7 linked regions of the Kluyveromyces lactis genome follow. The main gene of each other region encodes a partner of the protein of the gene in region 5 in a complex. Links are inferred from orthologs where the notes say so. Each region holds a gene or a part of one and is shown on either strand. Other genes may lie near its edges. The genes, in order: MRPL13, MRPL44, RTC6, MRPL9, MRPL4, MRPL11 and MRPL32.

Evidence for each region.
Region 1: MRPL4 (region 5) and MRPL13 share a complex: the UniProt entries of both Saccharomyces cerevisiae proteins name them as parts of the mitochondrial large ribosomal subunit. The link is inferred for Kluyveromyces lactis from reciprocal best matches to the Saccharomyces cerevisiae genes MRPL4 and MRPL13.
Region 2: MRPL4 (region 5) and MRPL44 share a complex: the UniProt entries of both Saccharomyces cerevisiae proteins name them as parts of the mitochondrial large ribosomal subunit. The link is inferred for Kluyveromyces lactis from reciprocal best matches to the Saccharomyces cerevisiae genes MRPL4 and MRPL44.
Region 3: MRPL4 (region 5) and RTC6 share a complex: the UniProt entries of both Saccharomyces cerevisiae proteins name them as parts of the mitochondrial large ribosomal subunit. The link is inferred for Kluyveromyces lactis from reciprocal best matches to the Saccharomyces cerevisiae genes MRPL4 and RTC6.
Region 4: MRPL4 (region 5) and MRPL9 share a complex: the UniProt entries of both Saccharomyces cerevisiae proteins name them as parts of the mitochondrial large ribosomal subunit. The link is inferred for Kluyveromyces lactis from reciprocal best matches to the Saccharomyces cerevisiae genes MRPL4 and MRPL9.
Region 6: MRPL4 (region 5) and MRPL11 share a complex: the UniProt entries of both Saccharomyces cerevisiae proteins name them as parts of the mitochondrial large ribosomal subunit. The link is inferred for Kluyveromyces lactis from reciprocal best matches to the Saccharomyces cerevisiae genes MRPL4 and MRPL11.
Region 7: MRPL4 (region 5) and MRPL32 share a complex: the UniProt entries of both Saccharomyces cerevisiae proteins name them as parts of the mitochondrial large ribosomal subunit. The link is inferred for Kluyveromyces lactis from reciprocal best matches to the Saccharomyces cerevisiae genes MRPL4 and MRPL32.

What each region holds. Positions count from the first base shown.
Region 1 is NC_006037.1:257,721-260,834, forward strand, and holds MRPL13 (mitochondrial 54S ribosomal protein mL50 MRPL13), read right to left. Parts: upstream 1,546-3,114; coding exon 784-1,545; downstream 1-783. Other genes in the region: KLLA0_A02893g (uncharacterized protein), read left to right, coding at 1-513; MEH1 (Meh1p), read left to right, coding at 2,145-2,576; RSC4 (Rsc4p), read left to right, coding at 2,907-3,114. UniProt on the Saccharomyces cerevisiae protein: Component of the mitochondrial ribosome (mitoribosome), a dedicated translation machinery responsible for the synthesis of mitochondrial genome-encoded proteins, including at least some of the essential transmembrane subunits of the mitochondrial respiratory chain.
Region 2 is NC_006039.1:594,574-597,697, reverse strand, and holds MRPL44 (mitochondrial 54S ribosomal protein mL53), read right to left. Parts: upstream 1,447-3,124; coding exon 1,389-1,446; intron 1,257-1,388; coding exon 1,018-1,256; downstream 1-1,017. Other genes in the region: rRNA-processing protein RRP36, read right to left, coding at 1-669; DNA-directed RNA polymerase II subunit RPB7, read left to right, coding at 2,003-2,518; DIT1 (Dit1p), read right to left, coding at 3,116-3,124. UniProt on the Saccharomyces cerevisiae protein: Component of the mitochondrial ribosome (mitoribosome), a dedicated translation machinery responsible for the synthesis of mitochondrial genome-encoded proteins, including at least some of the essential transmembrane subunits of the mitochondrial respiratory chain.
Region 3 is NC_006041.1:1,683,243-1,685,936, reverse strand, and holds RTC6 (mitochondrial 54S ribosomal protein bL36m), read left to right. Parts: upstream 1-1,769; coding exon 1,770-2,012; downstream 2,013-2,694. Other genes in the region: kinetochore-microtubule binding complex subunit SPC105, read right to left, coding at 1-1,186; tRNA (34-2'-O)-methyltransferase regulator RTT10, read right to left, coding at 2,190-2,694. UniProt on the Saccharomyces cerevisiae protein: Component of the mitochondrial ribosome (mitoribosome), a dedicated translation machinery responsible for the synthesis of mitochondrial genome-encoded proteins, including at least some of the essential transmembrane subunits of the mitochondrial respiratory chain.
Region 4 is NC_006041.1:1,425,650-1,428,992, reverse strand, and holds MRPL9 (mitochondrial 54S ribosomal protein uL3m), read right to left. Parts: upstream 1,454-3,343; coding exon 632-1,453; downstream 1-631. Other genes in the region: exportin CRM1, read left to right, coding at 1-262; MRPL6 (mitochondrial 54S ribosomal protein uL6m), read right to left, coding at 1,796-2,440; snoRNA-binding rRNA-processing protein IMP3, read left to right, coding at 2,969-3,343. UniProt on the Saccharomyces cerevisiae protein: Component of the mitochondrial ribosome (mitoribosome), a dedicated translation machinery responsible for the synthesis of mitochondrial genome-encoded proteins, including at least some of the essential transmembrane subunits of the mitochondrial respiratory chain.
Region 5 is NC_006038.1:467,191-470,687, forward strand, and holds MRPL4 (mitochondrial 54S ribosomal protein uL29m), read right to left. Parts: upstream 2,076-3,497; coding exon 1,077-2,075; downstream 1-1,076. Other genes in the region: 8-oxoguanine glycosylase OGG1, read left to right, coding at 1-885; U4/U6-U5 snRNP complex subunit LSM3, read left to right, coding at 2,739-2,990; NTE1 (lysophospholipase), read right to left, coding at 3,275-3,497. UniProt on the Saccharomyces cerevisiae protein: Component of the mitochondrial ribosome (mitoribosome), a dedicated translation machinery responsible for the synthesis of mitochondrial genome-encoded proteins, including at least some of the essential transmembrane subunits of the mitochondrial respiratory chain.
Region 6 is NC_006037.1:292,389-295,741, reverse strand, and holds MRPL11 (mitochondrial 54S ribosomal protein uL10m), read left to right. Parts: upstream 1-1,675; coding exon 1,676-2,413; downstream 2,414-3,353. Other genes in the region: KLLA0_A03289g (putative nitronate monooxygenase), read left to right, coding at 1-917; TRM8 (tRNA (guanine46-N7)-methyltransferase), read left to right, coding at 2,727-3,353. UniProt on the Saccharomyces cerevisiae protein: Component of the mitochondrial ribosome (mitoribosome), a dedicated translation machinery responsible for the synthesis of mitochondrial genome-encoded proteins, including at least some of the essential transmembrane subunits of the mitochondrial respiratory chain.
Region 7 is NC_006042.1:1,182,099-1,185,247, reverse strand, and holds MRPL32 (mitochondrial 54S ribosomal protein bL32m), read left to right. Parts: upstream 1-1,560; coding exon 1,561-2,118; downstream 2,119-3,149. Other genes in the region: septin CDC10, read right to left, coding at 4-1,017; KLLA0_F12804g (uncharacterized protein), read left to right, coding at 2,597-3,149. UniProt on the Saccharomyces cerevisiae protein: Component of the mitochondrial ribosome (mitoribosome), a dedicated translation machinery responsible for the synthesis of mitochondrial genome-encoded proteins, including at least some of the essential transmembrane subunits of the mitochondrial respiratory chain.

The sequences.
Region 1 (3,114 bases), on a different chromosome or scaffold from region 5:
TTTGTAAACGGCGAGACTAGCTCTTTGATGGGAAGTAGTCACATTACTTCTCAAGAAGATATAAGAACTTGTTTACATTCGTTCAAATTCAAAACTTTAACAAATAACAAGACCCACAGAGTATCCCTAAGGCCAATAGAGGGGGTTTCAAAACTAGTTGAACTGATTGGTGAAAAACTAGGAGGTTCAGATGATGTGGAAATTTTATATGTGGACGATGAAAATGATCTTGTTAGCATCACTCATGATCAAGATTTGATTGACTGTGTGCTTGTGCATAAAAACATGAATCTAGATAAGATTGATTTATTGGTTCATTATAGATATGAGACTGTACCACAAGATGCTGTGAATAGATTAATCCAAAATAGGTTCAAAAAAAATGTGCCTTCTCATCCCAAACCATCTAACCAATTAATTCCTGGAATTCCCAATGAAACCCTTCTTCCAGCAGTAATTGTTGCTCTCGGTGCGTCAATTGCCGTGATATTTTCGTTATCGAGAAAACACTAGGTATACAATCAATGCCACGCTCTTTTCAAACCTTATATAAAAGTATATATATATTCACATACAATAATTTTTTTTTGGTGATTGATCTCTCATACTAATGGTTATAGTAACATTATGTATAAGTATTTATATTATGTACAGGATTTAGATTGAAGGAAAAGTCAAATCAAAGATCTGAAAAGCGGCCGACTGGCCTAGTTCAAATGCATTGGAAAAAAAGATATGCGATAGTAAATATAAACAACCCAGAAGAGAGATTGTTTTCGGAGTTTAATCCCTTTTAGCTTTCTCAATAGCGTCTCTTTCATATTGAGCTTCCAATGCGGCGACCTCTTCCAAGATTTTCTTCACCTTCTGTTTTTTCACAGATGGTTTGACATCGGGAACCACGTACACGTTTGGTGGGAATTTGATATTCGATAAATCAATGGCGTTTGGTTCCGATTCCTTAAATTTCCCTAGTTGACCACTTAGTACTTTAATCTCAAACCACGATTTAAATTCCAATGGAGTTTGTAACCTTGTAAGTTCGTAGTCTGGGATAATGTGTCCTGATTTGCATTGTAGCAGTTTACTGAATTTGAACTTGTTTACCAAATTTTCGAAAGGTTTCCCCAGTTGTTCTTCCGTTGGGACATCACCGAAAGTTTCCTGATAACTTTCCAAAACAACCTGTTCCAACTGTTGTTCGGTACTTAATTTATCCTGAGATAACCACTCGTTGAATGGGACGACATCCAACTTTTGTAAACGAATAAGTTCTTCTCTTCTAGATGAATCGATACCAACAAAATCATCATCTGTTAACTCTAATCTTGTGACCGTTGAGCTCTTCACTACAGTTGTTTTCCCGGACTCGATCTCATTTATAACTTCTTTTGTATCTCTTTGCAATTCTGGCTGTGTTGAAACGACACCAGCATCTTTGTTTTTATTTCTTCTGAACCATGACAAGAAATCAGAGCGCACTGCACTTGAAGTGAATTGTCTTGATGAACGCACTACTGGCACGTACCTAGACGCTAGCATCATTATTCTTTTTTGTTTTCGATTGAAAAATATGCACAGTACCACGCTTTAATGAACTGATATCAACCGCCAAATCAGACAACACTAGAAGATACTTCTGTGCTTAAGCTCATCAAGAACTTGACCGTTCAATTAATGTTCTAATATACAATATCTTCATCAAATTGTAAGTTTATAGTTTTTAGATGAAATTTTTCAATTTTTCAATTGGGCATAGAAAGAATGTAGTCCATATGGGAAGGTTCTAAAGAGAGAAAGAAACAGGATCTGAAGCGATAGATAGTTGCATCATAGTGGTCTTTAACAACGGGTCGAGTTAAGTGCGTACTTCCTGGTTTGCATGATGTTCACTGTATTCAGTAACTAAAAGCTGCTTATCTATGTAGCCCGATAGATAAAGAAGACGGGGTTACCCTATTCAAAACACCCACAACCCACATACTAGAATATGAAATTTATGCTTCCCAGTGCTTTTTATCAACATCTATAGTAAGTGTAGTTCCTTTACCTTAAAGCCACCAAGGCAATGAGATAGTTTACGTTTACTAACGAATTCTAGCATCAGTAGCTACCGAAAATCTGCCTAAAACATTTAAAATATTATGGGAAATGTGCTAAGTTGCTGCTTTCGTCAAGATAGCGACGAAAATGACCCGTTATTGCAGGAACAGGACAGGTACGGCTCACAAGCCCAATTAGATTATAACGAAATGGAACAACGACAGAAGGAAAGAGTGCTTGCAAGAGAACTTGAATTGACCGAAATCGTGAATAATACGAACGATAAGCTTATAGATATAGGTATGATCAGCAACAGCGGTATCGTAGCATCCTCACACGATTTAGGTTCGAGCTATGTGCAAGATCAAAGAGAAATTTTACATGACGTACCCTTAACGGTACTTCCCAGTTCGAAAATAAAACAGGACACAAGGAAGGCGATTCAAGAATTTCACAAAAAGTACTTCGCTAACCTAGTGAAAAACCTTACCGTGGAATATAACAAGCCATTGGTCGCCAATATCGAATCGTGACGCAATAGGTTTCTGCACTATTAGCGCACTCAAAATGGGTTCACCAAATGTTGAAATGCGATATATCACTATATACGTCTGAACATTTCTCAATCTTGTAAAGGTACTTTCACTCTCTTTATTGAAAACATTGAAATATACAAACTTTGTAGAATAGACATATAAAACAATACGCAGTATACGATTTTGGTTTGTCAAAGGAGCCAATTAGGTACGGTTAGAGTAAGTGCCTTGACTGCTGCATATATACTGAAATTTGTTCATTTAAGAAGCCAAGGAAGCGAGGAGGCAAAAAAAAAAGCATAAACAAACTGGAAAGCGCCAAATACTATGGCTGTGAAAAGAAGCAGATCAGAAGATCCCAGTGAGGAACCCGAACAAAAGCATTCAAAACAGAATTATGTACCAAGATATACACCAGGAAAACGTCCTAGAAGCGGCGCTCTACCCAAAGTGGATTATGTGCACCCTTTGGATCCTACAGAAGAGCTCATTGTAGATCTAGATTGGACTATTCCTAAGTTGAATTTGTTCATCG
Region 2 (3,124 bases), on a different chromosome or scaffold from region 5:
TTCGTTGATCTCTTTTTCTCTGTACTCATCCAAGAACTTGTATCGTTGACGGATTTTTGCCAAGTCTTCTGACTTTCCCATGGCTTTATCAAACCTGACATCTTGATAGATGGATTTACTCTTATTATCTTCTAACCCAGGAATCTTTCTCATGGAGCGCACTTTCTTCTTTGACGATGATTCGGTTGGTGCGTGCTTTCTTTTACCTTTCTTCTTTTTACCATTCTGATTAGCCTCATCGTTTGATTCTTCATCGAAAAAGCCGCCATCACTATCAGAATCACTTTCTTCTCCGAAAGATTCTTCTGCAAACATTTTGATAGACTGTGACTTTTGTTGTGCTTCTTCTTCCTGTAATCCGCTCTGACGTCTCTGTCCATCATCAAGTTTCCTTTGTTTCTCAGTCAACTCTCTTGATTTTGGCTTATTCAAATGTTTCTTCTCACCATTCGCTTTGCTTTTGCTTTTTCTGCTGGTTTGTTCCTCATTGTCCATCATTTCATCAGCTTTCTTCAAAGATCCAAATGAGAGTGTCTTTAGCTCATCTTCGCTTTGTGAACCTTCTGCATCACTTGTATCGTTTATTCTTATGATTGATGCTATGTCATCTTCCTCATCTTCGTTTCCTGAATGAAGATCTGGCTTGATATTCTTGAAGTAAAATGACATTTGTATATTACTGGTAGTTTTTGTGGCCGTGGCTGCTTACAGGTTAGTTATCAGTCGCTTCTACATAGAAGTTCTTCTTGATTTTAAGTTTAGCTCATCGCTTCTGCATTGGCACCGTATAAAATTTTCAATATCTGGAAGAAACTTGAAATTCCTATTCAGGCGATGTAAATGAATAATGGACAGGAAGGGAGCTTCAAATAATAAGGTCTGTGATCATACCAACAGCGTTGACTCAATTTAATCCACTGAAGCATTGTAGTGTTTTATATCTTATACTACATTAAATTTCTTTTACTTATTGTTATATATACATGAATTTTGTGATGGGTATCTCGTCACAAGAAATCATTGAGATTCAATACTTTCCTTTAGGGCCAATTTTCTTGAATGACGATCAAAGTAGTTCCCTAGTTCCATGAAGTTCATACTGCTTGGATCAGCTTCCAATTCAGTTTTATCTTTGAAAGTAACTTTCACTGTAGGTTTCTTATTAGAGCCAGAAACCAAAACTTCGTTTTGCAATTGTAATCCACTTGTTCTTTGTGAAGGAGGAATAGCACTTAAGAACAACCTAGCTGTCTTGGCTGTAGATGAAGATAAATGAGACGATTGATGTTTTAATAGTAAAACAACCGTAAATCATATTATGTTAGTAATGGTGTTCGGTAGTTTTAAATGATGTCCAACTAATGATTTCTCTTTCTTTGAAGACATACCTTCCTTTCCTAATGGATTGAATTTCACAACTGCCTTAGTAAAATATTTCGTGATCATGTTGCTCTATAGTTCTCTTGACAACAGCTGACAAACTCCCAAGTATTACTCTGATGAGACGTCCTCATCCAAAAACATACTTCACAGCTGTATTCATCTCTAGCTTTTTGCCTAAAACTGTTTAAATGGTAATAGCGATCTCATCAGAGGCTATACTATTACCCGGATAGTTTTTGAATGTTTTTGGGCGATGTTTGACGAAATGAAAAATATTGAAAGAAACATCCAATTGCAAAATGAACAACTTCAATATTTGCAAATGAAGCAAGACTGCTTTTAGCACAATCGGTTTTTAGGATCCTTGGATTGTTATTTAAGGTCGATATAAGGTACTCGCCTTTAATTGTTTGCAGGTTGAACTAAGTGCGGGTTGTTTTTCATTCGTTTATTCAATTGTAACAGCCGTTGATACGGTGAATCTATTGGCAAGCTTTTTAAAAAGGAACTATTCATATTCGAATTGGACTTTCAGTTTGATTGTAACTATACTTTAACTTGATCTTATTGCCTGAAGGACCAGTATCTTTTTTATAGAAGCGAAATAAACTACAGAGCCATGTTTTTCTTCAAAGATTTGTCGTTGAATATAACGCTTCATCCATCATTCTTTGGACCTCAGATGAAGAGATATTTGATGACAAAGCTACTACAAGAGGTGGAAGGAACATGTACCGGTAAATTCGGATATATCCTATGTGTTTTAGACTGTGAAAATATCGAGATTGAACGTGGACGGATTTTGCCTACGGACGGGTCAGCAGAGTTTACTGTTAAATATAGAGCTGTGGTATGGAAACCTTTCAAGGGAGAAGTTCTTGATGGTATCGTATCTAGTTGTACAAACTTAGGTTTTGAAGTGGAAGTTGGACCTTTGTCTGTCTTCGTTTCCCCTTTTTTGATGCCAGAAGATTTGACTTTCAACAGTGGTTCCAATCCTCCATCATATCAATCATCAGAACAAATTATTACTAAAGGATCTAGAGTAAGATTAAAAATCGTCGGTGCAAGATCGGAAGTCAACTCTATTTACGCCATTGGCAGTATCAAGGAAGATTATTTGGGGGTGATATGATATTTCTTTCCTAGAACCTTTCACATTTTTCACCTAATCGCAACTATGACTATATATAGCTTTGGACATAAATTTCCAAATTCCGGTCATCATTGTTATCTGCTTCATTTGTGAGCATTTTGTATAATATAAAAGAACAAACTAATTTAACAAGCAGCATGGTCAATGTACTTTCTTTTTCTCAGCAATTAATAATAGCGTCACATTAATTTTTTGATTGTACCAAGCACAAACTGTTACAAAAATATCTGTTAAAAGCATATACATTGTTGAGAACTTTCACATGAATCAATTGACATATGACGATTTGTGTCAATGATTCTATCTTAAAGATATCACAAATAAAATAAAATAAAATAAAAATAATAACAAGAATCCCTCGTTGAATTGCATTTGATTCAAAGGCGCTATCTCAAAATTAAGAAAACACAATCCGATGGTTAGCTTCACCGATTCTTCAGTGGGTTTTTGGGACGAAAGAGTTTAGGATAGAATTATGAGTAAAAATTGAAAAGTTGGTTAATTCATGGTATCATTAGTTGTTGTGTGGAGCTCTTGCAGGCTGGAAAAAAAAATAAAAAGAAATTGAGGAGTCATTTAATTGAT
Region 3 (2,694 bases), on a different chromosome or scaffold from region 5:
TGTTATTCGTACTCTTAAGATCGATTTGAAATTCGTTTATTTGGGTATCAACGTTGAATTTTATATTAGCAGCATCAAAAAATGTCTGCAAGGAGATTGGTCCCGATTGACTTTGAGTGTCTGATAGAACATGTTTACTTGTTTTGGATAGTATGGGAGAGCCGACATTTTTTGGTTTTGGTAAAGAATTTGTTGCCAACGGAATTGGCGATAATCGTTCCATCTCTGTGAGCTCCGCATCTATATTCTCTTTTTGTTCAGGGGTCTCTTGCACTTGCACTGGTACCTGCAATTTGACCGGAGACTGATAACCACCGTTAGATAATTTCCTTCTTTTTGACTGCGGGAGTTGAGTTGGTTCTAGTTGAGTTGAAGAAACTATCTGTGACTCTCGCATCTCCAGAGGAGCCTGCACGTTTGTAAATTCCATTGTTTCCTCTGTAATTGCTGGTATCTTAGGTAATTTGAAAGCAGATTCTGAATCTGCATCTAGCGTAGGTTTTTCTGCATCCATCCGTATTTGGTCAGTTATTTCCATAGACTCTTCTTCGTTAAAGCGGCGTTTCTGCGGTTCTGTAAGGTCCATTGTTTCCTCCAAAACTTGGTCTTCGTTACCATTCTCTTCTTCTTCTTCCGCAGCAGTAGAGGTTTCTTGCGGTACCACATTATCGTCTGGTTTAGCGCTATGTTTTGCAAATAACTGTGTTATATCCATTGAAACCTCTTTGTCGAACACAGGTTGGTACCCATCATTTTTCGGTTCGCTTGGAGACTCCAATTTTTGGAATATTGAACCTATCGGACTAGTAAATTCCATTGTTTCTCCAGAATTGTCGTTATCATTTTTGGTATCGGCCATAGAGGCTTCAGCTACTGCCACTTCCAATTTTAAAGCGGATTTCCTTCGAGGTTCCCTTACATTTTGAATCGATTGTGGTATGAATTCGAACTTGTGCAAAGTCACATCTGGTGCAAAGGACACACGGCGATTTCCCTTCGAAATCGCAGCACTGATCCGGGATGTCGTATTGTTTCCGTCCAGTATATCTTCTTTGGTAATTCCCTCAGTAGGAAACTGTATCTGGGACATAGTCAAATTATGACTGGTGTTAGTTGTATCATCATCCTTAAATTTTTGCTTAAGGATACTTCTCGGAAGCAAAGACAATCGTTTTGGATCTGTCATATGAAGCGAGACTATCAACACAGGGTGAAATATGATAATAAATGGAAACTTAACCTAAATATTAGTCCTTAAGTTTATGATGATTCGGTATTTGTGTGTCAATATATTGATCTAAAATTCGATTGTTTACGTTTTCGAAGTTCAATGTTTTCGATTCAGAGCGCTGCTGCACATACAGTGAGAACCGAGAAAAAGGATAAAACAACTGCCTTGAAGAGTCTCTTAGAAAGGATGGGTGTACTTCATCAATTATTTATTTGTTAGTGATTCGAAACGGTCTTCAGATTTGCCCAAAGATGTTCACTAGATGAGGATGTTCAAGATCTCAGGTCATAACCATCACGTGCTATAGTCCGGGTAAATATCTTAATCTCCATTGAAACTATTTTGAAAAATTATCGAAGGCCTTTTCATGGTAGATCATCAGCTATAGAGGGCATGTTCAGTCGGTGTGATGCCTTATTGACGATTGTGGACTCCATTAGTACGTTTCAAGACCGTGGGTGATATCAAAAACTGAAAACTCTTCACAGGTATAACTCTGGAGCCCGATATAATATAAAGAGAGGGAAATACATACATAATGAGCACACTTTTCGGAAGTACGATGTTGAACTCGTTGACAAGACTGACAAGGCCAGCTGTGAAAAGTATCAATATGCTATCTATGCCAATGATGGGTCTTATGAACCCTCCTTTGACCAGAGGTTTTAAGGTAAGAACTTCCATCAAGAAGTTCTGTAACGATTGTTACATGGTTAGACGTAAGGGCAGAGTGTACGTTTACTGTAAGTCCAATAAGAAGCATAAACAACGTCAAGGTTGAATTACAATCGCCCTCCCATTCGTCCCAATCTTTCATGTATATAGATAAGTCATAATGGAGGATGTGTTCTTTTCTTGAATGTGGAAAAATGCAGCCTTCTTTCTATAAATAATTTCCATTCTATACTAATAAACTGGTTTTAAATATATAAAATTCTGAAGTTTAGATGGTTAGATATTATTCATCTCGCCAACAGGAAAGTCCTAATCCTCCTATTAATATAAGTGTTTTCTGGACGTTTGGTAACGTAACTATATCACTGGAACCGGTATCTGCTACTGTGGTATATTTGCTCTCCGTTATTTTCAGTTTGTCATTCGTAATGTCCCTAATTCTTATGACCTGGTCCACTGATGTAGCCAATAATTTTGTGTCATTATCTAACAGATTCACTGATGTTACTGTTGATGAAGCAGCATACGAATCGTGATCTAGTATTTCGGCTTTCATCGTGTAGTTGTCATTGTTCGTAAATTTAGTGATGGCTACAGCATTGTCATCACCCCCAGAATATACTTTGAATGAATCCGAAGACTTGTCAAGCTTCACGTCGAGTGATTTGATACCTGCTGTGTGTACCAGGATTTTTTCGGACCAGTTTTGTAATTGTTTTGTTTCCAATTTGAGGCCCCTGTCAAAAAGCTCATTATTCCTTATCTCGAACGGAACGGAATTAGTGATG
Region 4 (3,343 bases), on a different chromosome or scaffold from region 5:
CAATGCATTCCCTCATTTGAGTGGTGAACAGGTTATGAACTTCATTCAAGCGCTACTCAAACAATATCATGATCCAAAGCATTTCACTGGTACTATTAGAGATTTCTTGGTCCAGATCAAGGAGTTCGGTGGAGATCCAACCGATTATTTGTTCGCAGAGGACAAAGAACAAGCTCTCGCGGAACAACATAAACTTGAAAGAGAAAGAGCTTCCAAGATCGGTGGGTTATTGAAACCATCGGAATTGGATGATGATGAGTAAAGATAACACCTTACAGAAATGTACAGCATGGTCAAGAAACGAAAAAGTTTCTGCGGATCCAATGAAAGCTGAAACTAACACTTGTCAAGCAAGGCAAATATATACATAGCAGGCCGTATATCTTCCCACATAGAGAAAAAAATTGTAATCAATTCTCTCCGACATATACCCAGGATCCAGTATCAACGTATGAAAGCCATTAAATATCTGGTTGAAAAGGACACTCAACGTTGCAGCAGTTACTATTTTATAATTGGTGTATATACAGGTATAGATTGTTAATAATAACCGTAGAAAGGCATGCTTTCCAAATGATTTCGGGACGGTGTCTAAACGACTGAAAAGATTCAATTTCTTAATCACAGTTTTTTATACTGGGGTTGGCTTTTTGATAGCATCTTGGATCTTAACGAATGCACCATTTGGACCTGCGACAGAGCCCTTCACCAAGACAGTACCTGTTTCGTCGTTGACGTCCAGCACTTGCACGTTTTGAATTGTTACAGTGTCGACACCCATATGACCAGGCATCTTTTTCCCAGGCAACACACGACCAGGTGTTTGATTTTGACCGTAAGAACCACCAGATCTGTGAGATACGGAAACACCGTGGGATGCCTTCAAACCTTTGAATCCATAACGTTTCATTACACCTTGGAAACCCTTACCTTTGCTGATTGATCTTAAATCAACGTATTGGCCAGGCTTGAACCACGAAGGTTTGATTAAAGAACCCACTGGTAGTAGTCCAGATTCGTCCTTGACTCTAAACTCGGTAACTTTTTCCTTTGGATTCACAACATGTGCAGCGAAATGTCCCAACATTTGTCTGGTAACATTCTCCGGCGACTTGTTACCATAACCAATTTGGCAAGCCCAGTAATTGTTTTCAGCTGGAGTTCTGTGTAGTATAACTTCGTTATTGTCCAACTGAAGTACAGTAGCTGCTATACGTTTACCAGTCTCTTTCTCGAAATACGGCATCATCCCTACTTTTTTACTCAAAGCACCACAACGTAGAGGTAATCTTCTTCTCTTTAGCGCATTTTCTGGAGAATGTTTAATATCTACAGGATCTAGATGAATGCTGCTTGCCACGGATGGTGCGACTAACTTGGCACCGTTCGATACTCCACTTTGTGAGAAAAGTCTTGTCCAAATCTTCGACGAAGGACTGCCAATAAATGCCATTATTCCCCAATTTTCAAAGACTGGTCGATTGATAACAAATGTGTCAATCCAGATAACCTCTTGGCAATGCTGGAGAAACTGTAAAGGATTTAAAATGTAGTTTAAAGACTCTATTGAAACCTGTTTCCATCTCTGTATAATTGTTAAAGCTGTTTCGATATTGAAAATTTTTTGAATCGATAAAGTTACCTATAGATCACGTGATTAAAACGGCACGTAGTTCTCTCACTGATTTAACACAAATTAAGTGTGCCCTTGACGGTTATTGGAAGTGTATGTTTATGCTTCTGTATTTACATGTTATTTAATATTATAATAATTATAATCATCATTCTATCGTCATCATTTGATCTTCTTATCCTTGATCTTGATAGTTTCATTGTTAACGTAGATACCTTTACCCTTATATGGTTCTGGAGGATGGAATTTTCTCAAGTTGGCAGCGAAGAGTAGCACTTGTTGCTTGTTGACACCTTCCACGATCAACGACGTGGGTACCGGAGACTTAACTATGATTCCCTCTGGGATAGGTAGGCCTTGTCTTACCGACGCACCGACTTTGACGTTGACAAAGGTGTTATTTTCCTCCAATTGAGCTCTGTAACCGGTACCAACGAACTTCAGAACAGCCATATGGCTCTCATTCACGCCTGTGATATGATTATTTATATGAGATCTTACCGTCCCCCACATGGATCTTTGCGTCTTGTCGGTAGAATCCTTCACTGCAACTTCGATTTTTCCCGAAGATCCATCCTGCTTTATCTCCACGAAATCTGGGATTTCCATATCAATCTTCCCCAAAGGACCCGATACAGTTACGTTCTGAGATAACTTAAGAGATTTGTTACCCTTTCTGATGATCTTTGGCAGTTTCATTGATTCCACCACCAACTTGGTCTCCGGTGTCAAATACACCGGAGAAGAACCAATATGTGAGCGCAGAAGAGCCGACACAGAAAAGAGTCTTCTGGAAACAAATGTCATGGTAATTGTGTATATCCTGGAAATAGTCTAGCCCACTTTGCAGCCGCTATATGACTGGGTATATTAGATCAAATGCGTCTATATCAATCTGTTCTTCCAGCACTCATCTCTATGCGTCTTTCAACCAATTTTTCACTTGGAATCAAAATTTTAATAGTGAGATAGTATGGGAGGGTAACTTTAATTGCTTTGACGATTGTTAAATAAGATATACTTAGGCTGTTACTCTCGATTGGTGACCATCTAGGCCACTCCTGGGTCGAAATGGGATGTGGAGACTGCTCTTCGTCGAAACACAGGAGTAAATACCTTGTGCTTATATTATCCTGTGCATCACGTGACTTGTTGATCTTTGCCCTTTCTTTTTGAAAAATTTCAAGCTCATCGCCTACGCATCGTCATCTCATCTCAATTACTGAATGATATAGCAGGCTGAAGTGGTTTCAAGAGCGTTCAGCAAGTCATTTGGTGGTCTCATAGCCAATATAAGGATAGGATACTCCAAGCAGATACACTAGGTAATACAGTATGGTAAGAGCATTGAAACATCATGAGCAGAAGCTTCTCAAGAAGGTCGATTTCTACGAATGGAAACAGGACCAGAACCACAGAGATACGCAGGTGATGCGTACGTACCATATCCAGAACCGTGAGGATTATCATAAATATAACAGAATATGTGGTGATGTGCGTCGTTTGGCACATAAGCTATCGCTTTTACAACCTACAGATCCCTTCCGTATCAAGCACGAGCAGCTCTTGCTAGAGAAACTATATCATATGGGCATTCTTTCAACAAAATCCAAGATATCAGCACTAGAGAATAAAGTTACAGTCTCGGCTTTCTGTCGTCGTAGATTGCCTGTAATAATGCATAGATTAAAGATGGCACAGACACTCAAG
Region 5 (3,497 bases):
GAACATAGAGGAGTGAGAGTACTGAACCAGAATCCCTGGGAAACTTTATGCTCTTTCATTTGTTCTAGTAATAATAATATATCAAGAATCACTAAAATGTGCCATTCCTTGGCCACTGAATTTGGTGATGAAATTGCAGAGTTTGATGGTGCTAAGCAGTATTCGTTCCCAAGTTCGGATCAGATCGTAGAAAGAGCATCTGAAGAAAAACTAAGAGATCTTGGCTTTGGTTATAGGGCCAAATATATCATTGGAACTGCTCAACTGATGTCTATGGAAAAAGGCGATATGTCTGATTCAGAGTATATGCTCAGTTGGCGCATTAAGGGTAAAATGGGGTATCAAGATGTCAAAGAGAAGTTGATGGCGTATCCAGGTGTGGGTCCGAAAGTAGCTGATTGTGTGCTTCTCATGGGAGGGTTGGGATTTGACGAGGTAGTTCCTGTCGATGTACACATCGCAAGGATTGCATCGAGGGACTACAAATTAAACAACACTAAGCAGGAAATCAGTGAACTGCAGGCTGAATACAAAAAGTTACCGATTACACGTAAGAAGGTGAACTATGAACTTGATATGTACAGAAGGAAGCTCCAGGATCTATGGGGCCCATACGCGGGCTGGGCACAATGTGTCCTTTTCGCACAAGAAATTGGGAAAACAGTTGGAGCAAGTACAAGTGATAAATTAGTGAAAAGACGCAAACTGGACTATGATGCATCTGGAGAAGAAGAAGACTTTAAAGTTGTAGTCAAAGACGAGGCAGAGATCAGTACGGAAGATTCTTTGTCCACGGTTAAAATTGAAGATACTATGTCGATAGAGTATAGCATTACTGGGAGGCCGCTACGGAGAGCGGTAAAAAAGGCTAAAAAGGTCTATTGAATTAATTGACTGCAAATAAAACTCTCTTTAAATACAATTCTTATTCGTCAAATTAAAGTGTTGTCGAAGGAAATTTTTTGTTTTATATTCCGTTATTTAAGTTGGTGTATACATATGTACAGGAAGGCTGGGTTCATCCAAATGGACGGTTACACTTATCTCTTTATACAATCACTTCGATGGCATTAATATCATAGTGTATTAGCGTTGTTTTTTGCATCTTCTTCTTGCAGCTGTATTTCCGCTTCTGTTACCTTTGCCATTTGAGCCTCAGCTAATTTATTAACATATTCTTGAACAGTTTCCAATTCATCGTATCTAGACACAGAGGAGCCATTTTCTCTCAACTCCCTTACCGCTTGACATGCTTCTGCGATGGCAGATTCTGTGTTTTCTGATGTATACAGAAGGAAGGATTCACCTGCATCCACAATTGTATTGTTAGATTCTTCTAAAAAGTTCTTGATGTCCTCGTTTCTTAGTGCAAATTTCTTTAACTTCAATGTTGCAACCGCTTTCAATCCATCCACAAATGTTCTGTCCACTTTGTTCTCATCGATGTACTCAGAGATACCGTATATGGCATATTGAAAACGTTGCAATGATTCGAAAATCTCTTCATCTTCGTTAGCAGGAGCTTCTAAAAAGTCTTTTTCGAATGATTCGATAAATACTTGTTTTTCAACAGCAAATTTCTCATTCGCTATCTTGAATGCCCAGTCTCGTTCGCTAAGGACGTGTCTTATTCTCCACATTGTCGTTCTGATCTTTTCGGAGATATCTTGGTATGCTTCGGTTTGTGCTTCAAAGTTGAACTGCACCAAATGGTTTTCACGTGCTAATACGTTACGTTCTTTCAAACATGTGTACCACAAAGAATGTAGGTCAGTGAACGATTTTCTTCTCAACTCTGGGATGGTCCAAGGTCTCGAAAGCGTATCCAATTCCTCGGGCGTTCTTAAAAACTTCTTCTCGGAGAAAAATTGCCATAAAGGATGATCATCTGGACATGTCAAATTGGCAGCAGCCGGTGGAATAGGAGCTGTAATCTTTAAATCATTATCGTGATGGGTCCTCTGGGTAGGTAGTCTAACGTTCTCTCTCTTGGCTGGTTTGGGTTTAGGTTTGGTGAATCTCGTCCTGGCACATGCTCTAGAAGTAGTATGCAATCCCCTTCTTGCTGGGAACATTTTGAAAATATAATATCCCTGCTATAATAAACACGTCCTGCAGCTACTCAATCGAGGTAGAACACTTCAATATCACGACAGCTAGCTGATTCATCCATGTTTTAATTCCTATTCAGCTTTCCTCTGCTTAAATGTTATAAAAATTTTTTGATCGAACAGAGTTGATTCGGGGTCCGTCATTAGGTTGCCCGGCCTTTGTCATGTGATAGTCACGTGAATATCAGGTTGACTATTGACTCTCTTAGTGAAGCATAGTGCAATAAGATGATAAACTAGCATCGCATATCCTGGCCATCTTTCAACAGGTACAGTATCATTCAAAGATGGTTGGAAACGTGTACCTTCCCTGGTTTAACTGATTATTCTATAATTCAGAGCTTTCCATTGACATCGAAATTCAAAACTTCAACACTTTTTATCAATTAGTACGTTAACAATAATTTGGTGATTAAGTATGTTATGGAGGATGCTCTGGAGTGTGAATGGAACTAAGCCTTGGATTGTATATCGACTACTCTACTATACCTGGTACTCCATTTGATAAACTGACAAAGGAAACCATTCAACCTAACTGCTGTACCCTCTATCAATTGCATTATTGGTTATTGTAAGAATACGACTGCATCATAAATATAGAAGACATACACACTTTACGCCGCAAAGATGTCTGATACGCCTCTGGATCTATTAAAATTGAATTTAGACGAGCGAGTATATGTGAAATTACGTGATGCTCGTGAATTAGTGGGTACTCTTCAGGCTTTCGACTCACATTGTAATATTGTTCTTTCAGATTCAAAGGAAACCATTTATGAACTAGTAGAAGGAGATTTGAAAACGACCGAAAGGTTTTCGGAAATGATTTTCGTTAGAGGTGGTCTTGTGGCCCTTGTAACAACACCAGAAGATGAATGATTGTCCAGTATCCTTCTTCTTCTTTCAACATTTAATAAGGGAAATTCGAAGAAATAACTTCATGTCCTCATTATTGATTGAGTGCGATGTGAGCTATCCTCATTTTGCCCCCAATATACATCCATCGCTAACATTTGTATAGTATATATTTAGTTTATTCAATTTTTTTTTAACTTTCGGTTTACAGTTACTTAGAAACTATAACGTTAATTGCCATGGCTTTGATTTTATGTCCTGCATGTCCACCATCGACAAATGTGGGTAGCGTTTCCTGTTAATTCGTTTTATATACTGTTCCGTCTTTGTAACATGTTTTCTTTGTCGGCATAAGCAGAAGTTGTGGTACCCGCAATTGGCGGTAATTCGTTTTTCTCTTGCAGATGTTGTAAAAAGTCATGACCGTACGCGTAGCCTACTTGGTATATTTCTTCAAACTTACCAAAATCCAAAGTCGCATAGTTCTCAATAGGAGGCCTGATGTACACCACACCTGGTGTACTTTTAGCC
Region 6 (3,353 bases), on a different chromosome or scaffold from region 5:
CAAGAAACGCCATAATTGCGACGCAGAAGCTAACCAAGAGTCCATTTCAGGTCAATTTCTTCTGTCATGAGCCAGAAGAGTTGAACGTGGAGGTGGCACGCAATTGGATCGAATATTTGAAGCCAATATTTGCTCGGTTCCATACTAAACCTGAAAAGGAATTAACCAAGATCTATAACAGTTTCTTGGAAGATCCAGAAATGCTTGCAGTGGTGTTAGAATTGAAACCGAAAGTGGTTAGTTTCCATTTCGGAGTGCCATCTGCGAGCACTTTAAAATCATTGAAGCAAGCGGGAGTTGTCACGATGGCAAGTGTGACTCAATTAAGTGAGGCTGAATTGGCTATTGGGCACGGGATAGATATCCTAATCGCTCAAGGTGTCGAAGCGGGTGGTCATCGGGGAATGTTTAACGCATCATTAGATCCGGCAATATCCACGAGAGATTTGGTGAAATTACTAAAAGCAAAGTTGGGCACAACTATTCCTATAGTAGCAGCAGGAGGAATAATGTCTGGTCAAGATATTAAAGGAATGATGGAAGTAGGTGCCAGTGGTGCTCAATTAGGAACCGCATTTGTCCAATGCAAAGAATCGGCTGCGTCAGAAAATTACAGGAAATTATTATTTGACAAAACAAGAAATGACATAACTCAAATCACAAGCAGCATATCAGGTCGTCCGGCGCGAGCTTTGTTGAATAGTTGGCACACTGAGGTGGATATTCCAACTAGAGTGATACATCCAGGGTATCCATTTACATACGATGTGGGGAAGCAGTTAAATGCCGTGTCTATTCCAGATCATGATGGTACCGCAAATTCTTTCGCAGCACATTGGGCAGGATCCAATGTCAGCCGTATCCGTGATATGGATGCGAGACAACTAATGCAAACCCTTGTCGATGAGATGAGATAATTTTCCAGACCGTTACAGCACAGAGCTATGCTGTTTCAAATGTACGAAAATCCCGAATAGCGACAAATTCCACAATGGAACGATGAAGTTACACTAATTGTGCATTATTCTCGTCAGTTACATGACTGCATTTATTTTTTCAATGACGAAGTAGAGTTGCATCTCTTCACAATTTCACTACGACCCTATAAATCCCGGACTACCTTTTGTAAGGAAGAAATCTAATCTTTCGACATCCCTCCTAGCTTGGACAGGAGACGTCTATAACGGATTACATTATTTAAGCATGATGTTGACGATAGCAATGACAGTTTGCAGTTCGAAAAGAAGAGCAGAACTCACCAATTCCTCTATCATTTTAATTTGAACAGTCACGTGAATCGACCTTTGCCTCATTCGGGATTATATATACTATAAAGAAGATATATAAAAAATTACCAATATACATTTTTTGCTGCCATGGAAAATATACGAGAAAGTCTTCATTCCCTTCTCCATTGTTGATACCGATTTTGGCACTCATACCACTTCCAATTACCATTCATACCTTCTTACATTGAATCTAACTATGCCTCTCGTCGGTTTATTGTACCAAGTATTGAAATTCGACGATACTGAAAAATCTGAAAAAAAATGAAAAATCTGAAAAATCACTGAAGATTGATATATTGTAGTGAAGAGATATATTGGTGGGAATGAATTCGCTTAAAGTGATTCGAATCCACAGCTCAGGTCATCACCAACCACTCAAAATAGCCATGTTGTCACTTTTGTTAAGAAGCCCAGTGGTGGTATCCCGTGTCTCATATGCTTCTCCGTTTTTGGTTAGGAGGTTTGCCTCTACGCAAATTGAGAGAACTGTCTCGGATGCAGTTAGAAGAACAGTAAAGCCTTTGGACTCTCGTAAGACTTTCCTAATCGACTCTTACAAAAACCTGATGGAAACCAGTCCGGTAATGTTGTTTTGTCATCATAACAATTTGATGAAAGGGGAGAATGCACACTTCAGAGAAGAAATTAATAAGGTAGGAGGCAAGTTAACAATCTTGAGAAACAATTTGTTCCAAGTATACTTGAGAAACTCACGCAAAAATGACCCAGCTGCTCCAGCGAAACGTTCAGAACAAGACTGGAAGCATCCTTTACTGCCCTTGTTCAAAGGTCCTACGGCAGCAATTTCGTTCCCAGAGACTGATCCGGCAAAGGTAAAAAAAGTCATGAAATTATTGGAAAAAGCCCAAGACAAGTTATTCGTTATTGGCGCCAAAGTTGAAAATGATGCGTACGATTTGAGACAATTGGATTCTTTCAAGGATCTACCAACAAAAAGTCAATTACAATCAGAATTACTGGGACTATTGCACGTCTTGAGCGGTGCTGGTTTAGTTCAAACTTTAGAAGCTGGCTCAAACATGTTGTACCTAACTCTAAAGTCTCACGAAGATAATATTAACCCAGATAAGCAGAAAAACGAGAATGACAGCGAAGGAAATTAAAGTCTTTTGCCCCATCATGAAATGTAATATAAATCATTTTTACGTATCGATGTACTTAAATAAACCCATCACATATTAATATAAACTCCTGTACATATTCTTTGCACGTGACTTTTTTTGATCTCATTTGTATATTGTAAAGAAATAAAAAGTTTTTGAACATGCACTGAATCAATTGAGTCGAGAAAACCTAGGCGATGAGGTTACAATTTTTCAAAGCAGTTACTTCCACCAACCGTTAATGTGTGTTGAATAAACATAATTGAATTCTAACAGTGACTCAAATTTCCTATAACTGCCTTTGTTAGAAAATATGAGTTTTAGTACTAGACGCCAGGCGTATCGTGCTGAGAAGCAAGATCATCGCAAAGAATTGAAACATGTCAAGATCGATGAATCTGTGATTGAAAAGGTGGATAAACTATCTTTACCTAAAAAAAAGTTTTACAGACAAAGAGCACATTCGAATCCATTCAGTGATCATCAGTTGGAGTATCCAATAAGCCCAGCTCATATGGACTGGTCAAAATTGTACCCTCATTTCTACGATAGTGAAAAGAAGAAAATGACGAAAGATGTTACCATTGCGGATATCGGATGTGGTTATGGTGGTCTTATGATCGATTTATCTCCAGAATTTCCCGATGAAATGATCTTGGGTATGGAGATTCGTGTTCAAGTAACGAATTATGTCGAAGATAGAATTATTGCATTGAGAACCAACCACGCGAAGGAAAACGGATATCAAAACATTAATGTATTAAGAGGTAATGCAATGAAATTCTTGCCAAATTTTTTTAATAAGGGACAGTTGTCCAAGATATTTTTCTGTTTCCCAGATCCCCATTTCAAGCAAAGAAAGCATAAAGCAAGAATCGTCACTGATACATTACTAAGTGAGTACGCATATGTGTTGAAAGAGGGTGGTATCATTTATACA
Region 7 (3,149 bases), on a different chromosome or scaffold from region 5:
CTATTAACGCAGCATTGTTGTTGATGTCTGAGACATGTGTGCAGAAGTTCTAGCGTTGGCGTTCTCCTTCAAAGCAATCAATTGCTTGGATCTGAAACTTTCGTAGTGGATCAAAGCTGTAGTCTCAATCAAATCTTGCAAGTGTGTCCTGATCAAAAATTCTCTTAAATATACGAACTCACATTGGTTGATGTCTTCGACATTGATGGCACCCCAACGAGTTTTTCTTCCTCTTACTAGTTCACCGTTCACTGTAATCTCCTTTTCAGATCCTACAACGGCAAATGGAATAATAGATCTTATACTTTTATTCAGTTCCACTTCTTCATCGGTCAGATCGTCTAAATCATATGGATAGATTCTGAAATTGTACTTTTTAAATTCTTCTTGTAAGATGTTTCTGAAGTTAGCTCTCTCATTCAACGTCAAAGTATCAGCTTTAGCGATCACCGGGATAACATTAGCGATTTCTGTCAATCTCTTCAAAGCAGCAACGTCAAGTTCTGTTAGACCCTTACCGTTAGGTTGGATGAAATATAACACTGCATGTACTCGAGTGTCTACAATGTGTCTTTCACGTTGAGCAGTCAACTCTTTACGTAAATATTGAGAGTGTTGCTCCTTGATGTACTTGACAATAGGTTCCCAAACTTTGTCGTTATTTATCTGGTCACCAAAACCTGGAGTGTCAATCACGTTCACGTTCAAACGTACACGGTCTTCCAATAAAGAATGTGTTGAAACCTTGATCTCGGTGGTCTTACTAATTGGTTCCTGAGTGATGTCCTTACCAGTAGAAGAATCAACCAAGTGAGATGCAAACAAAGTGTTGATCAAAGTACTCTTACCCAGACCAGAATGTCCAACGACCATAACGTTGAATTGAAATCCTCTCTTCAACAAACGATGTTCAATCTGTGAAGTAATCGAATCAAACCCAACATAAGAAGATGGATTTACCAAAGCCAACCCATCAGAAGAAGAAGTCATACCAGCTGCAGCAGTACTAGATGCCATTGTTTTTGTTTATGCGTGTATTTTACCTTTAATAATTCCTTTCGCGTAGTAGAGATGTATATAAGTCAAATCCAAATGATCAAAGCTTTACGTGTTTTAGTGTTTGGAAGTTAAAATAATGAAAAACCTCTAAGTTATAAAAACAATTAACCGCAATAACAAAAATTCAAACAATGAGTAGCAATTAACCACAGAAACGTCAAAAAAAAGTAATCACAATCTTACTTATTCTAAAGAATACAAGATCTGATTCCTTACTTATATTTTGTTGACACACTTATTTCGTTTCGAGTTCCATTTTTAGTTTTTGTGATTTTTCGTCTTTTTCATCGAAATCGAAAAAGGGACACAGATCATCACCAAATCAGGGTAATGTTGAAAATTCTTTCTTATAATCCAATTCGTCAATACCAATTTGAATTGACGAAGTTCAAACAGAGTTAGACGAGCGACCTAGAGAAACTAGTATCTGTCCCTATCGATTGAACTTATCCTTTCTCCTCTTCATCATAGTATCATACCAGCAGCGAAAATAATTAGAGGATGTCTTTTGGAGCTGTAACGGAATCTTTTAGCAGAGTGTTGCTGGAAACAGCGACATCAATATTGCCTCGTTGGAGCACTCCAGCAGCTGGTACTGCATTGCCACAGAAACTGCTGGAATTGCTTGAAAGAAACCAACGTGAAAAGTCTTCACCTCAAGCGGATTACTTTACGAATAACGGGATCCTTCTAGCTGTGCCCAAGAAGAAAGTGTCGCATCAGAAGAAGAGACAAAAGTTATATGCGCCTGGAGACAAACAGCTGAAAATGATCAACCATTTGAACAAATGCCCTTCATGTGGGCATTACAAGAAGGCACATACGCTATGTATGCATTGTGTGGGTGAAATCCGTCACATCTGGAAGGCTCACACTAACGTTGAACAAGTGGAGCCTATTCAAGAACAAGAGTTGTCTGAATTGGACAAGCGTATCTTGTATCCTGGTAGAAAAGAAACTGAATACACAAAGAAACTGAAGGACAAGGATGCTTATTTGGAGAGACGTATGAAAACTCTGCCAGTGGAGAGATCTGAGAAGAAAGAAGGATCACATTAAACCCTCTTCTCATTGAATCCAGTACAAAATAACACATCGGCGGAAATGACTAAAAAAAAACAACCTTTTATCAAGTTCAATCCCCCCATCACCTTGTATATATATGTCGAATACACGTCCCAGATTTTAGCAGGTTATTTCAGTGTCAGCATTCACCTCCTGTAGTAATAGTTAGATTCATTATCTCATCACAATCAACTCTACATAGAATCAAATCACATACAAAAATTTTCCTAGAGCAGGCTTGATGCCAGGCCTAAAGGCGTGAAAATCAGTCGAGAAAAGATCAGATTGAAAAGAAAAAAATCATGAGTGAAAAGATTTGAAGTAGCGATGAGATGAGATGAGGTGCGAATACACGATACAGGATTAAGCAGGACCTGAAAACTGGCATCAGTTTAACAGTTTGGTCTGATATTGGTTGTTTTGTTTTGTTTCACTTTAAATTGACAATAAGGCTGACAATTTTCCATACAGTATGACAACGACACGACAGTTCAAGAAAGTGAAAAAGGTGCCAAATTACAGGATTCCTGTATTTACCAGCATCCCAACGCATCCGTTAGGGGTAAAACCTAGCGGGAATTCTTTATTAGAGGGTGCAGATCCTCAGGAAACTAGAAAGCTTAGGAAAAAGCTGTTAGGCTCTCTGTCAGTGCTACCAGAAGATCTTATAATCGAAATACTCGCATATATCGATGATCCAAATGACTTGCAGAACCTCGGATGTAGTTCTAGGATCCTTTACGCGTACACCTACGATGAGGAACTATGGAGAAAGATTTATACCAAGGAGTACTTGAAGTTGGAATCGGAAAGTCCAGAGCAAGAGCGTATTTCGCCGTTTGGATGTTCAAGGTGGAGGGGCTCGTGGAGAAAGACCATCTTGAAAGTAGACCAAGAAGCATTGATACAGTGTCATAATATTCTGTTCTCTGACACCTTATATAGACCATATCAATGTTCTCAGATCGATTATACAGAGCTTTTCAAAAAAGTGATTGAATTCGAAACGAGTTCGTATGAGTTAG